Sus scrofa: one gene and its partners. The protein of the gene in region 2 interacts with the protein of the main gene of each other region in a biochemical or structural test. Links are inferred from orthologs where the notes say so. Each region holds a gene or a part of one and is shown on either strand. Other genes may lie near its edges.

Region 1 (4,462 bases), on a different chromosome or scaffold from region 2:
AGAAAACATCACCCTCACAAAAAAAGGAACTTAAGAGAGATCACGCTGCTCGGTCAGGGCCCTGAGAGCCGTAGGCAGGCACCGTTTCCTTGGGCATCTGTCCCTGCAGGAGGAGCTTAGGACACAGGGCCCTGTAGTCTAACAGGAGAGACGGGCAAGGGAAGGATCAGCGCAGGCCACAGGGTCACTAGAGCCAGGGGCACGACGGCGGAGGCTGTGGGGGACAGTGGGGGCGCGGTCCCACTCAGAGCGGACGCAGCTGGAGGAAAACAGCCCTCAGGATGGGCCAGAGGGGGCCAGCTCCTGCAGGCGGCCTGCCAGTCTAGGCTTTGCACCTTCAAGAGTCTGCTGAGCCTCTGCCGCTGTCTCTTCCGGCCCCCGGCCAGACAGGGTGTTCCAGAAGTGGCCTGGGGCCGCTTTTTCCCCTCCGCCCAGGCCGAGGCCTGACACCGACGGGGTTCAGGGGGACTCGGGGCTGGCCAGAGAAGAACCTGCAGGCAGTCTGGACTTTGGCCCGCAGAGGTTCAGGGAAGGGAGAGCTTGGGGAGGCCGAGGTAGTCGGGGAACACTTCCTGGAAAAGTGGGACTAGCCCTCAGCCTCAGCATAGCAACCGGCAGACACCACCCAGTAGGCAGCCCAGAAAGGGGCGGCACCCCTCGTGAGAACGTGGGCAAAGGACACTGGCGAAGGGAGCCCTCAGCCTGCAGCTGGCAGGAGGGGCAGCACGCACAGCTGACTGTCAGCACCACCGCCATCCCCAGGAACCCCCCAACTCTACACGAACACCTCCAACCTGGTCCCCAGCCCCCGGCCCCGTCCTCAAGGCCCCCCGACCCAGGCCGGTCTAGGGGGCCGCCCAGGGGGAGGCTGTGAGCAGGGAGCGCACCTACACGTTTAAGAGGCTACAGGCGGCGGGGGTGGGGGGGCGGCCTTGACCCCGTCTGGAGGCCCTCTCCACAGCCTAGCTCTGCCCTGGGCCAGTCGTAGGTCACTGCCAAGGGCGAGTCTCCTCTCCTAGCCAGCATTAGTCAGAGGTCATCCTGTAAAACCTTCGGGGGGGGGGCAGGGAGTGACTGGTGGCGCTCTGCCACGTTCTATCTGTCCTAAATGTGATGAACGGGACCCAGAGGAGACAGGCGAGCCTGCCACCCGGAAGCGCCACTGGTTCACCGGGTCTCCCAAGCTCCCCCGGGCCCAGCGGCCAACCCCCAGGGAGACGGAAAGGACAGACCCGCCCCATGGAGCTGTAACGCGGGGCCTGGCAGGGGAGCAGGAGGCAGAGGGGCAGAGAGGCCAAGGGCGAGCCTGTGCCTAGCCTGAGATGAGGGACGCTTCTGGGGTCAGAGCAAATGGGGACAAAACACGGCCCTCCAGAGCCAAGACTGGGGCGGGGGTCCTCCGTCAGAGCTGCCGGCCGCCGCCTCCCGGCCACTGCGGGGAGAGGGAGCACAAGGCGGCCTCCTCGCGGCCCCAGTCTCTCTCTCTCTCTCACACACACACACACACACACACACACAAGCACACACGCACCACGAACACATCACAACAACCTTTATTGCCCCGAGAAACCTCTACTCTTCCTGCTCCATCTGCCTTCCTGCAGGACCAGAGAAAGGGGGCCTTGGAGGCGCGAACAGCAACACGTAACACAAAGGGGCTCAATCCAGCGGAAAGCAAGCCCTGCTCATCCTGGACGGGAACTGGGTCCCCTACAGAATGCTGGGGGCGCGTGGAACTGCAAGCAGCGCGGGGAAACAGCAGCGGAGGGGAGCGAGCCGAAGTGCCGAGGGAGGCTGGGCTCTCGCGAAGCAGCCAGCCACGGGCAGGGAACAGGGGCCCTCACTCCTCCTTCTTGTCCGTGGGGCCATCTACCGCCGCCTGCAAAGGGGACAGAAATTGCAAAGCAGTGGGTTGGCAGGGTGCCCTCCTCCCCTTCGCCTTCCAGCCCCGCCACCCTACAGGGAGGCCCAGCAGGGTGCGCCTTTCCCCAAATGCCAGGTAGCCAGGTGAGCGAGGGACCCCACCCTCAGCGGCACCCCACGGCCTGCCAGGGTAGGAATGGCCCCACTCCAGTGGGAGGGGGCACAGCTGGAAGCCTCCGCTGTCACTCTTTTCTTAGAGCCCCGCCCTCGCAGCAATACCTCCTGGGCCTCCCTCGCCCGCACCCTCGTCCCCAGGGCACCTCGGCATTTGAGTCCCTTCCAAGTCCCAGTTCAGGCTCTTTCCGACTCTGCACACCTTGCACAGGTCCCGCTGGGGAGCCTGCCCTGCGCTGAAGCTGTCAGCTCCTCTCCGCCCTCCATGGTGCCCAAACTTGGGCCACCAGGCACCAAGGCGAGCTGTCAGAACCTAGGGGTGTCTATCTGCTGGGCCCTCACGCCCCATTTCCAGGCCACCCAAGCTTCCGGATGCAGGTAGTCTGAGGGGCCTGGCGGTGTAGGTGGAGGCTGTGACCAGCAGCGCAGCCTGGAGCTCTCTGCCCCACCTCACCCCACAGCCCCCACAGCCCCCACAGCGGGAAGCCAGCAGCCGGGGCTGGCGTTTCCCCTGCGGTGTACGCGGGACGAGAACTGTACCCAAGGAAAGGAGCTTTGCTCAAGGGGGCACTGATGCTGGGCACGAGGCTAGGGCCCAGCTACCAAGGCCACCTTCGTTAGCAGCTGCCCCCTACCAGGCCACAAGCCCTCCTGCTCAAGAAAGCGTTCCGGCTGTTGGACCCAGACTGGCACCAGACTCAGCAGCAAGAGGGAAAAGGGGGACTGGGGGAGAGAGCAAGCAGCCAGCCCGCTGCCGAGGCCTCTCCCAGGGACAGGTCCGCCCCGAGGCAGAGAGAATGGGCAGCCAGCTCTGCGCCCGCTCGGGGGGTGGGGCAGGGTCCCGTTCCAACAGGGCAGGCGGCGGCGGCGTGCTGACCTGCAGCTTTGTGTGCTCCTCCAACAGGCGGTCGTACTCCTTGGTGAGGCCCTCCGACTGCTTCCGCATGGCCAGAGCCTCGTTTTCAGCCTTCTCCAGCTCTGTGGACAATGCGAGCAGTGAAAGGGAGGAACGTTCAAAGATTAGGATTAGGGGAAAAGGAACCTTTGCTGGAGAGAGCAGGTGCAGCCACCCCCAATCTGTCCCCAGCCAGGGTGCCTGGGAGACCACTCTGCTCAAGAAAGCTGCCTTGAGAGCCTCCAAAAGTGGCAGAGGGCTGGCCGACAAGGCTGTGGCAAGCGGGAAAACATGGAGGATCCCCGCCAGCCCCTGTAACGGACATGCCTCTCAGCAGGGGGTGGGATCGCAGGGAAGCTGCCGGCCTGGGACAAACGCTGCGGAAATGCCCAGGTCAGAGGAGGAGGCACCTCTGACTGAGGCTCTCCTTCCCCACCCCGCCAGGCCCCTGGCGACGGGGCACAACGCCACTCCTCGCCGGGCGCTGCATGGGACACTCTGGACGTGGCCTCTGGGGCTCCCCGGTGGGGACCCTGCCTGCACCGAGGAACCACTAAGCCCCACCGGCTGGGGCTGAGCCCGGCTGCACTGGGGCTGGCCGAGCAGGGGCCATCTGCTTGTTTCCACCCCGCTCCTGGCCCCTGCGTGTCTCTCATTGATACTTCGGCATGAGAAGTGCGGCAGCCACTGGCACAGGCTCCAGACTTCTGGGGGCCGGGCGTGACCCGAGGACAGTGCTCACTCTGCTTGCTGACGGCCAGCTCTTCCTTCAGCCTCTTCAGCTCAGCCTTCAGGCTCCTGTTCTCTTCCTCCACCTTCCCTCCTGCGTCGCCGCCATCTAACTTGACTCCGCCCACAGCAGCTTCCTGGGAAGAGCGCCAAGGGCGGGGTTACTGGGGGGGGAGGCGGAGGGGGGAGGAAGGGGAGGGGAGGGGGGGCTCCAGCTCTGTCTTCGGCCTTGGCCTCGCAGGGATTCCTCAAGCGGCCCTGGGCACTTGCCCCTTCGGAAATGTCAGCGCAGAACTGGGCCACTGCTTATTTCCAGCCACCAGGCAAAGCCCAGGGCCAGCAGGGCCACCTGCTGCAGCTCGGAGGCCACACGCCCTGCCTCCTTTCTCAGCAGCTCTTCGGAGTTTACCAGTCCATCCAGTGACTCAATCCGCTGTCATCTGGGGATTTCTGCCAGTCGCCCCCAATTGACCATTGCCCTCCCTGCCCCTCTCCAAGCTTCACAGCTCCCTCCGGCCAAAGGGCCCTGAACTCGCCCCTACCCGTCCAAGTCTATCCTGCCTACGAATCCAAGGCCATCCGTCTCCTTCCCAGCTTGGCTCACACCTCACCTCCTGCGACAAGCCTTCTAGGACTGCCCCGCCTCGTCCCCGGCTGATAGCAATCCTTCTCTGGTGTTCTTCTGTGCTAACTTGCCCAATGTTCACAGCCCAGGGCGCAGCTCGTTAAGGAGTCATTAGTTTTACGAGGGAAGAGTCTGGCCTGGATGCAGTGGGTAGAGGCGAGAGCAGCAAGGGTGCC
Region 2 (5,749 bases):
TTATTATTGAGATATATAATTTAAAGTGAAAGAAAACTTTTGGAGGCCTTTCCATTCCTGCCTGTCTCCTCCTCCTTATACATTATGTATCAAAATATTCAAAGTTTTATGTTCTGCATATGTAGATATGTGCATATTTTATGCATATATATATGAATATGTGAATAAAATTGGAAAAAAAACACCAGGTGTCACCCCCAGATTATTTCTTTTTTTTTTTAAAATATTTAAAATATTTTATTTCACCATTTTTTGCTTACATGAATATTAAAGATAGGACTGATTTAATTCTTACATTTAACATTCTATACAAGAGGTGTTTTTCCCCTATGGACCCCCAGATTATTTCTAAATGGCAAGTTTCTAGGTGGCTTTTCCTTTTCTGTTTAAAGTTCTCCAAGGAACATGTTACTTTTACTGTTTTAGGAAGGAGATAAATATAACAATGAATATTCTTTTAAAAATATTACTCTAACAAAGTTTCTAAGTCATGAGCTCATGCGGTAAACTTAGATCCATAAAAAAGGAAGTGCCTTTTTGGTCCTTATACTGAGGCCAGAACCTAGAGGTGGCCCGTTGTTAACGGTGTAAAATCTAGCGCAGGTGCTCATTCTTCCCAGGCACTACGACCAGAGATGTGATCTAAACAAAGGCTGAATCCCATTCCGCAGTATGTTCCGGAAAGCCTGGGTCAGAAAAGAAGCCCCTCTAGCTTTTTTCACTAAGTGTCCACTTTAGTAAGATATAAAAAATCACTTCAAACTGCATGGCCAGGCTATAGCAAGAAAAATGATACAACTGAGGTGAACTGGCTACAGAGGATGGACACCAGTTATGTAATAGCCAATGATATCCTGGCCTTGGAAATATATATATATATAAATAAAATTAATACATGTATACATCTATCACATACTATCAGAAAATGCTATTGAATATATAACAAGAGCCTTAAGAAGCTTTATTCTTCTTGTCTCAGTAATACTATTTCTATTTATTCTATTTAATTAAATATGCTCTTGTCTCAGTATACTACTTCTATTTATTCTAAGTGATAATTCTGTTAACGTAATCAGAGGTATACATGGAGATTTGCATTGTAAAATCATCCTAGATATAATCAGAGACTGGTTAGATAAATATTGTCCATTTGTATGATTACAATCTTACAGATTTTAAAATACATGTTGTAGAAAAAATAAAGACATAAAGATGTGTTTATTATCAGAGGAAAAATCCACTTGCCTCTCAGAAATATGGTGTGTTCAAATATGAGGGAACATATAGGTACATAAAATATTTGTTAAGAGAGATAGTAAGATATTAGGTATTTATCTTTGGATGATGGAATTATAGGCAATTTTTATTCACCTGTTTATCTTTTCTATATTTTCTAAAATGAATACAAGAAGCATTTTTAGCATTAGAAAAAAATAATTCTGCTGTCATTTGATTCTTTGGTTAATTTTATTCCATAAAACAATGTTTTAACAGTGGTTAGAGCCAGTTAAAAATGGAAGGACACTGGATTTAAAGGTAGTAAACAGAGCTGGGCCCAGTTCAGATTATTTCTAGGTTCATATATTGGAATAAAAATATGTCTTTACTTAGAGGTTTTAATTTAAGTACATATGCATTTAGGATAAATAATACATGCAAATGGTACACCTTCACGATGTGCAAAGGGTGTAGAATGAACAGCAAGTCTCTTTCTTGTCCACCCCGGGGCCTCCTCCAACCCTACTCCACCCCCAGGCCTTTAGTTCCTCTCCTCTGAGGCAGCCACTCTAGCAGCTTCCTGTGTGTTTTCATCAAAGATCTGTGAATACGATTGGATGTACTTTCTGAGTTAGGTTTGTTTCTTTCCAGAATTTCCTTATCTTATTGTTTTCTGCTCATGTGTATATATGTGTGTCTGTAATGACAGAAAGTCTCATTGTTTTATCTGTTTCTAAAAAATAAAAAACAGATGCATAATTTTTTTTGGTTATATTGCAACTCACTTTTTTCATTGTCATAATAACCTGTCTTGAATATCTATCCAGTTTTATTTCAGAAGATGGGGTGCATTTTCTTAGCTGTTGCATAATGTTCTGTAGTATGATTAGGTTTTTAGCCATTTCTTTATTGGAGGATATTTGGAATGTTTCTAATTGTTCAAGGTTATATCATGCTGTGGTGGGAGTCCACGTACAAACCCTGTTGAGCACACGTGTGTTTCCATTGAGTGCGATTTAAGGAATGAACTTGCTAGTTGGTTCCCTTGAATATCCAGGAGTTTTCGTTTGTTGTTTTTTGGTTTTTTTTTTGGTCTTTTTGCCTTTTCTAGGGGCTCACCCGCAGCATATGGAGGTTCCCAGGCTAGGGGTCTAATCAGAGCTGTAGACACGGACCTAAACCAGAGCCACAGCAATGCGGGATCTGAGCCGCATCTGCAACCTATACCACAGCTCACAGCAACGCCAGATCCTTAACCCACTGATCAAGGCCAGGGATCGAACCCACAACCTCATGGTTCCTAGTCAGATTCATTAACCACTGCACCGCAACGGGAACTCCTTGTTTGTGGTACTTTGAACACATGCTTTTAGTTGCTGGCTGCACATTTAAGATACCTTTCCTAAATAAAAATATTTTCATGATAATTGGTTGCTTTTGTAGTACATGATGTAGGCTCTGCAGGCTTCATGAATCTAGTGTAAACCAAAATGTATATTTCCAAGACACTGTCCTTCTGCTTTCCTAACCAAGAAAACTTGTCTAAATAATAATGTCGGTTAAAAAGGAGAAAAACGTTTTGCCCATAACTCCAAGAAGGAAATAATCAAAGATATGTACAGGATACATGAAAAAACCTCTCAATGCAATATTATTTTTAATAGTAAAGAAATGGAAAATTGCTTAAAATAAATTTTGATATCTCCACATGGTGGAAATTAAGAAACACTAAAAACATGCCCAAAAAGAATATTTATGGTAGGATAAATGTTCATTCTAAATACTAAGTGGGTAAAAACAAAAACAAAAACAAAACCCAGGTGTACATAGTTGGATGTGCAATCCGACTCTAATTTTTATATAAATGCACCTTTGTGTGTATGTGTGTGTGTGGGGGGTATATAATAATGATAACTGTGACAATTTTGTAATTTATTATATTTTCAATTTTCACCAAAATAACCCCCAGCATTCTATAATCAGGATTGGAGGAAATTGAAGTGTAATTGATTTACAATATTATATAAATTTCTGCTATATAGCAAAGCGATTTAGTGATATATGTATATATTATATATGTGCACACACACACACTCCTTTTAAAAAATATTCTCTTCCATTATGGGTGATCATAGGACATTGACTATAGTCCTCTGTGCTGTGCAGCAGGGGCTTGTTGATCATCCCCTTCATGTGTAGTCGCTTATGTCTGCGAACCTCAACCTCCTACTCCATCCCTCCAAAGATGTTTCAAAAAAAAACACCAAGACTAAAAGCATCAAAGTCTTTTGCACCATTTAAAAAAGTACATTAAAATTTACCTTTATGCTTTCATTTTAACATCAAATTTACGGAATACATGGGTCCTGGCTCACTTGATCACCACCTCAAGTGACAGTCAGAATTTGTGGTTTCATCCAAGAAAATCAGCAAAGGCATGAAGCTTAAAAAGTCAGGAGCCTTAGAGTTCCCATCATGGCACAGCGGAAATGAATCCGACTAGGAACCATGAGGTTGCGGGTTCAATCCCTGGCCTCGCTCAGTGGGTTAAGGATCCGGCGTTGCTGTGAGCTGTGGTGTAGGTTGCAGACGCAGCTCGGATCTGGTGTTGCTGTGGCTCTGGTGTAGGCTGGCAGCTACAGCTCTGATTCGACCCCTAGCCTGGGAACCTCCATATGCCACTGGTGCGGCCTTAAAAAAACAAACGCGCTTGCGCACACACACACACAACAGTAAGTGGTAGTTTTCTTCCTCATCTGAACATAACAATGCGTTTTGACCTAGGTTACAACTACATCCTCCTAACGCTTGAGCAGCATGAATTTCAACAGATGTCTCTATAATATTGGGGAACATTTGGACAGTGATGACCTGGCTTCCCTCAAGTTCCTGAGCCTGGACTACATCCCACATAGGAAGCAGGAACCCATCAAAGATGCTCTGATGTTATTCCAGAGGCTCCAAGAAAAGAGAATGTTGGAGGAAAGCAACTTGTCCTTCTTGAAGGAACTGCTTTTCCGAATGAATAGACTGGATCTTCTGATCAATTACCTGGAAACCAATGAGGAGGAGATGGAGAGTGAGCTTCGGATACCAGGCAGGGCCCAGATCTCTGCCTACAGGTGGGGAGAACGTCCATGGTGTGGACCTGGGAGGTGGGGGTCGAATGAACATATCTTTAGGGGCCTGGCTGAGGCTGTGTGCAGGCTGTGTGTGTGGTGTGACTTTGAACACTGCAAAGATGTCCCATCAGGGCCACAGGAAGAAATTTGGAGGGAGTTTCTGTGGTGGCATATTGGTAACGAACCCAACTAGTATCCATGAGGATGTGGGTTCAATTCCTGGCCTTGCTCAGTGGGTTAAGGATCTGGCATTACCGTGAGCTGTGGTGTAGGTCACAGACGCTGCTCCGATCCCTTGCTGCTGTGACTGTGGTGTAGGCCGGCAGCTGCAGCTCTGATTTGACCCCTAACCCAGGAAGTTCCATAGGCCATGGGTGCGGCCCTGAAAAAAAAGGAAAAATAAATTTCCATGTTCTTTTAATGATACCAGTCACTGGATTAGGGCCATCCTAATCTGCTGTGACCTCATCTTAACAAGATTACATTCACGGAGACTCTTTTTCCAAATGAAGTCACATTTACACATACCAGGTGGACATGAATTTGGAAGGAGAGTGGGGAAGGTTATTATTCAATCCAGGGTAACTTTGGTTTAATAGAATTGTACAGTCCTTATAATGAAAATCTTTTCATTAAGGCACCAACTAATCATAAAAAACAATGGCTCCATAATTAGGAAAGCTGGAGGGTCTCGTCTTGGTCTTCTGAAGGTGGCACTCCTGCCATGTGAGCAAGGCCAAGGCAAACTGCCAAAGCAGAGGACATGGGCCTCTGTTAGAGGGTTAAGAGACTCTAACAAGGGCAGGAGCTGTCTGTTAAAATCTTCAAGACAGAACACTAAACCAACTATAATGGAAAAAGTAAAAATCATTAAAAAAAAATCTTTGACATGTTAGCTTGGGAGCAAAAGGGTCAGCACAGATACAATCTACTGCTTGTTCAACATTGTTGAATATTTTCCAGGAAATGAGAAATATGCTAGTGTGACCATTTTCCAGTTATAAGAAAACACTAGACAATTAAAATTTCAAAGTATCAGAGTTCCCGTTGTGGCTCAGCAGTAACAAACTGACTAGGACCCATGAGGATGCAGGTTTGATCCCTGGCCTCACTCAATGTGTTAAGGATCTGGTGGTGTTGTGAGCTATGGTGTAGGTCACAGACAAGGCTCGGATCCCACATGGCTGTGGCTGTGGCTGTGACTGGCAACTGTAGCTCCAAGTTCGACCCCTAGCCTGGGAACTTCCATAAACTGCAGGTTTGGCATTAAAAAATTTTTTTTCAAATTATCGTTGCTACCTATAAAATCATTACCTTATAAACCATCCAGGTTTCTTTCTGGACAATGATGGTACAGAAATGTCAGCAGATGTCAGTAATGCGAGATGTAGAAAGGCAAGATGTCTTGT
Region 3 (5,749 bases), on a different chromosome or scaffold from region 2:
CAGTTCAGTTCAACAACAGGTTGCTCCTACTACATGCCAGCCTCCATCCAGTGCTAGGCACTAGAGATATAAAGATGAATATGAACTAATCTCTTTACATGAGCCACTTAAAATCTAATAGGATAATACACAAATAATTTTAGTACGCTTTTTAAATGTTTTAAGGGAAATACAGACAGTGTTCCATAGGCGTACAGAAGACGACTTATCCCAGCATGGGGGTGTAGAGAATGAATTTGAAGATGGCATCTGAGCTGATTCTTAAAGGATGAGTAGGAGTTAGCCATCTGAAAAAGGGTGGTGATGGGGGATGTGGAAGAGAAGGGAGAGGGGCATTAAGGCAGAGGGAATAGTCTGAAGAAAGTTGCAGAGAAATGAACTGCATGATGTATGTGAACTACAAACAAACCGATAATGTTAGAGAATAAAAAGTTATGAGGTGGGCAAAGCAGGCAAGACCTGTTCTTGGAAGGCTGGTGTGTTGTGTAAGGAGTTTGGAGTGTTCTCATAGGTAAGGAGGGAACTCTAGGTAGGTCTTAAGCTGAAAAATGGTGTAGTCATTTCGAGGCCAGGGATTGAACCTGTGCCTCAGCAGTAGCCAGAGCCATGTCAGTGTAAATGCTGGATTCTTAACCTGCTGAGCCACCAGTGAACTCCACTTATGCATTTTAGGTAGTTAATTCAGCTGGATGTGGGGGATGGATTTAAGCAGGTTCAGATTGGTGGTAGGGAGAACCCTTAAAGAGTAATCCATGTAAGAAGGAGTTCCCGTCATGGCACAGAGGAAGCAAATCCGACTAGGAACCATGAGGTTGCAGGTTTGATCCCTAGCCTCGCTCAGTGGGTTAAGGATCTGGCATTGCCATGAACTGTGGTGTAGGTTATAGATGAGGCTTGGATCTGATGTGGCTGTGGTGTAGGTCGGCAGCAACAACTCCAATTAGACCCCTAGCCTGGGAACCTCCATATGCCATGACTGTGGCCCTAAAAAGCAAAAAAAAAAAAGTAATCCTGGTGAGAGATTATTGGGACTTGAACCAGGCTGGTGGTAGTAGAAGTGGAAAGGTGAGGTAGATTTAAGAAATATGTAGGAGTAGCATCAACAGGAATTTTAATTGGGAGTTCCCATTGTGGCTCAGTGGGTTAAGAACCTGACAGAGTATCTGTGAGGATGTTGGTTCAATCCCTGGTCTCGCTCAGTGGGTTAAGGATCTAGTGTTGCCACAAGCTGTGGCATAGGCCACAGGTGTGATTCGGATCCAGCGTTGCTGTGGCTGTGCTGTAGGCCAGCTGCTGCAGCTCCAATTCAGCCCCTACCCCAGGAGCTTTCATGTGGCTCAGGTGTGGCCGTAAAAAGAAAAAAAAAAAAAAAAAGCCCAGGAATTTATAATTGATTGGTGATTGAAGCTTGTGGTCAGAAGGTGGAGCAGTATTGGGAGGTACTCTCTGGTGGGGCAGTAAATATGGAGTGGCTGGAGTGGAGGTGAAGGTTGTTGGACTTCAGGATTGGTTATTGGCTGGGTCACTGACATTGCTTAAGGTGATGGGGGAAATTTGTGACTCAAATGCCAAAATAATATAATAAATATAAGATTATGATTGATCATTGACAGGGGATTGGTAAATGACAATCATGAGGAAAGGTTAGAAGATGGCATATCCAAATGGTGTGTGAATATCAGGGGAGTAGAGATGGCATAGGAGAATTACAAGAATGTTCAACATAGGAGCTTAGTAATGTTTGTTGATTTAAATCCATGAGCTTTGGTGGATATTTGATGAACTTTCTGAGCAGTTATTTCTCTGGACTTGATTGTAGGAACAATGAGGGTACGTTTTTGGCGGGATGAATCTGGGCTGCAGAGGCCAAAGGATGCTTATCTCATTGAAATTGCCTAATCATTTAGAGGAGGTTTGGAGTGGTTTCACATGCATTTTCTCGTAGGATTCTTAACAATTCTGAGTAGTTTCTTTCAATCCCTGTTTTGCAGATGGAGGCAATGAGACTTTTGAGCTGACTTGCCTAAGGTTACACAGTTACACAGTTTGTTAGTTGAAGGCAGAATTGAAGCTTGTTCTAACCCCAAAGATTTTCAGTTTTCCTGCTTTCAGTCCCCAAGTTCATCTGATGGAGCTTCTATATTAGAATTAAGAGTGAATTCTTGGGGAGTTCCTGTTGTGGCGCAGTGGTTAACGAATCCAACTAGGAACCATGAGGTTGCGGGTTCGGTCCCTGCCCTTGCTCAGTGGGTTGATGATCCGGCGTTGCTGTGAGCTGTGGTGTAGGTTGCAGACGCAGCTCAGATCCCGCGTTGCTGTGGCTCTGGCATAGGCCAGTGGCTACAGCTCCAATTCGACCCCTAGCCCGGGAACCTCCATATGCCGCGGGAACGGCCCAAGAAATAGCTAAAAAGACAGAAAAAAAAAGGGGGGGGTGAATTCTCTACTTTCCAATTTCGCCTATATTTAAGAGATGGGGAGTTCTCTTTGTGGTTCAGTGGGTTAAGGACCTTATGTTGTCTCTGTGAGGGTGCAGGTTTGATCCCTGGCCTACTCATTAGGTTAAGGATCTGGCATTGCCGCAAGTTGCAGCATAGGTGGCAGATGCGACTGGGATCTGGCATTGCTGTGGCTGTGATGTAGGCCGGCAACTGCAGCTCCGATTTGACCCCTAGCTTGGGAACTTCCTTACACCATGGGTACGGCCACAAAGAAGAGAAAAAATAAAATTAGAAGAGATGGCTTGGAGTTTCCCTTGTGGCTCAGAGGTAACAAATCCAACTAGTATCCATGAGGATAGGGATTTGATCCCTGGCCTCACTCAGTGGGTTAAGGATCTGGTGTTGCTGTGAGCTGTGGTGTAGGTCACAGATGTGGCTTGGATTCCACGTTGTTGTGGCTGTGGTGTAGGCTGGCAGCTGCAGCTTTGTCAGCCCCTAGCCTGGGAACCTCCATATGCCATGGATGAGGCCCCAAAAAGACAAAAAAAAAAAAAAAAAAAAAAAAAAAAAAGGAGAGAAATGGCTTTGATTGGGTGCTGTCAGGGAGCACATAGGGACCAAAAGCAGTATTTTGGAGGCCAGAGGAACAATCAGGGTAACATTTAAAAGCAACTTCTGCTGAATACGGAGCACTAAGATTGCAATGAGGGAGTTCCCGTCGTGGCGCAGTGGTTAACGAATCCGACTAGGAACCATGAGGTTGCGGGTTCGGTCCCTGCCCTTGCTCAGTGGGTTGACGATCCGGCGTTGCTGTGAGCTGTGGTGTAGGTTGCAGAGGCAGCTCGGATCCCGCGTTGCTGTGGCTCTGGCGTAGGCCAGTGGCTACAGCTCCGATTAGACCCCTAGCCTGGGAACCTCCATGTGCCTCGGGAGCAGCCCAAGAAATAGCAAAAAAGACCAAAAAAAAAAAAAAAAAAATAAGATTGCAATGAAAAGTCTCACTTAGTGGAAGTGACTCTTTCTCTAGTAGGATCTGGACTTAGGGCAGCATCTGTTGGATATGTTGAGTTCTAGGCTTTATTTTTTATTCATTTTTTTGTCTTTTTGCCTTTTCTAGGGTCGCTCCTACGGCATATGGAGGTTCCCAGGCTAGGGGTCTAATCAGAGCTGTAGCTGCCAGCCTACGCCAGAACCATAGCAATGCCAGATCCGAGCCGTGTCTGTGACCTACACCACAGCTCACAGCAATGCCGGATGCTTAACCCACTGAGCAAGGCCAGGGATTCAACCTGCAACCTCATGGTTCCTAGTAGGATTCATTAGCCACTGAGCCACGAAGGGAACTCCTAGGCTTTATTTTTTAATAAACACTTTGTAAAAGTTAATAAACACTAAAGCATTACATTGTGCCAGGCATGGGTTAGGCTCTGGGAACAACAGGAATGGATAAGACTAGTTCCCGATATTAAATGGCTCACAGGTTCTCTCCTTGTCCTTACAGTATAGTGGGGATTGTGGCTGCTGAGCAGGGATTCTGGAAAGCTTTGTGCACCTGAGCCCCCAGCATGGCGGGCCTAAAGCGGCGGGCAAGCCAGGTGTGGCCAGAAGAGCACGGTGAGCAGGAGCATGGGCTGTACAGCCTGCACCGCATGTTTGACATCGTGGGCACCCATCTGACACACAGAGATGTGCGAGTTCTTTCCTTCCTCTTTGTTGATGTCATTGATGACCACGAACGTGGCCTCATCCGAAATGGACGTGACTTCTTATTGGCGCTGGAGCGCCAGGGCCGCTGTGATGAGAGTAACTTTCGCCAGGTGCTGCAGCTGCTGCGCATCATCACTCGCCATGACCTGCTGCCCTACGTCACCCTCAAGAGGAGACGGGCTGGTGAGGGTGCACTGGGGGCTGGGGACACTCGAATCAGGGAAGAGTTGTGGGAGGCCAGGAGTGAACAGCATAGTCCAAGCAGGAGGAGGTACTGACCCTGGGGATTACCAAGGAGAATAAGTTATGAGGCCCACTGGAGAGTTGGACTAGGAGAAAGGAAGGGTGTATCTTTTTCTGAGTGAGCCTCTCTCTCCCTACAGTGTGCCCTGATCTCGTAGACAAGTATCTGGAGGAGACATCAGTTCGCTATGTGACACCCAGAACCCTCAGTGATCCAGAACCGAGGCCTCCCCACCCCCCTAAAACAGGTGAGCAGATAGTAATTCCCCCTAATTTCCATCATCAACAAGGAAGACACTGGACCCATCATTTTTTCAGCTTTGCCAGCCTAAGTGAAAGGACACTGTCCCCTCCCCCCACATCTGGCCCCATAAAAATCAGATGGGGGTGTTAATGCTTCACTAGTCCTTTACTTATTCCCACATATCCACCTTTCAGGTAATATTATTGATACTCCTTTAAGTGCTAAGTCGAAACGATTCTTTCTTCATTCCAAGTGAAGTGTTTGAATTTCTGCTTTTACCCTACTGAGTCTTCTCCCTTTTTACCCTCTGGTCAGTGCCTCCCCACTATCCTGTGGTGTGCTGCCCCACTTCGGGCCCTCAGATGTGTAGCAAGCGGCCAGCTCGAGGGAGAGCCACACTTGGGAGCCAGCGAAAACGCCGGAAGTCAGTGACACCAGATCCCAAGGAAAAGCAGACATGTGGTAAGGAAGTTCAAGGATTCCAGAGGTGGAGTGAACTTGAGGGGAAATACAGAGAACTGCCAGGATGCTGGGCAGTGTTTATGCTATTCAGTGCAAGGCTTGCTTTGCTTGCAGTTGCAAAGTAAGGTTGAGTGGTATAGTCTCTGGGAGGAGAATTCCTCTATCTTTGTGGCAGAGTATATTTCAATTTTTTCTGGGTAATACTAGATGAAAGGGATGCCATTATGACATCCTTATTGTAGGATGACCCAAATCATGATAGGGTATTAAAGTGAACTTCTGTGTTTGTTAATTAGGAAAATATCTTCTAGAATCAGGTGCTACTTGTGAGTGATGGAAATAATCTGGGCATGGCCCATTTAAGGGAACCTCTCTGAGTTAAGGCAAGGATTTCAGAGATACATAAAAAAGAACTAGTCCTCATTGTGAGTCAGCTATACTAAAAAAAAAAAAAATTAAAAATTAAAAAAAAAAAAGAACTAGTCCTGGGGAGAGGTAGAAAAGCTGTCAGTTGGTGTTCCCAACTTCGCTACTCTGCTGTTCTTTTCCACCTTTCAAACTTGGGTGTAAACTCAGCCCTTCACTGCAACCTCTTCTCTATCTCTTCTCTTCCCCACAGACATCAGGCTGCGAGTTCGGGCTGAATACTGCC

What was found.
Region 1: of the proteins of CASP8 (region 2) and BCAP31, one has a biochemical effect on the other in vitro, tested with the Homo sapiens proteins (2 studies listed by BioGRID, with this or other methods). The link is inferred for Sus scrofa from reciprocal best matches to the Homo sapiens genes CASP8 and BCAP31.
Region 3: the proteins of CASP8 (region 2) and DEDD form a complex in vitro, tested with the Homo sapiens proteins (2 studies listed by BioGRID). The link is inferred for Sus scrofa from reciprocal best matches to the Homo sapiens genes CASP8 and DEDD.

What each region holds. Positions count from the first base shown.
Region 1 is NC_010461.5:124,455,464-124,459,925, forward strand, and holds the end of BCAP31 (B-cell receptor-associated protein 31), read right to left. Parts: intron 3,799-4,462; coding exon 3,675-3,798; exon of another isoform or gene 3,016-3,674; coding exon 2,693-3,015; 3' UTR 1,880-2,692; coding exon of another isoform or gene 1,841-1,879; 3' UTR 1,536-1,840; downstream 1-1,535. UniProt on the Homo sapiens protein: Functions as a chaperone protein. Is one of the most abundant endoplasmic reticulum (ER) proteins.
Region 2 is NC_010457.5:104,927,874-104,933,622, forward strand, and holds part of CASP8 (caspase-8), read left to right. Parts: intron 1-4,002; 5' UTR 4,003-4,035; coding exon 4,036-4,340; intron 4,341-5,749. UniProt on the Homo sapiens protein: Thiol protease that plays a key role in programmed cell death by acting as a molecular switch for apoptosis, necroptosis and pyroptosis, and is required to prevent tissue damage during embryonic development and adulthood.
Region 3 is NC_010446.5:89,316,399-89,322,147, forward strand, and holds part of DEDD (death effector domain-containing protein), read left to right. Parts: intron 1-3,942; 5' UTR 3,943-4,006; coding exon 4,007-4,331; intron 4,332-4,531; coding exon 4,532-4,639; intron 4,640-4,950; coding exon 4,951-5,097; intron 5,098-5,716; coding exon 5,717-5,749. UniProt on the Homo sapiens protein: A scaffold protein that directs CASP3 to certain substrates and facilitates their ordered degradation during apoptosis. May also play a role in mediating CASP3 cleavage of KRT18. Regulates degradation of intermediate filaments during apoptosis.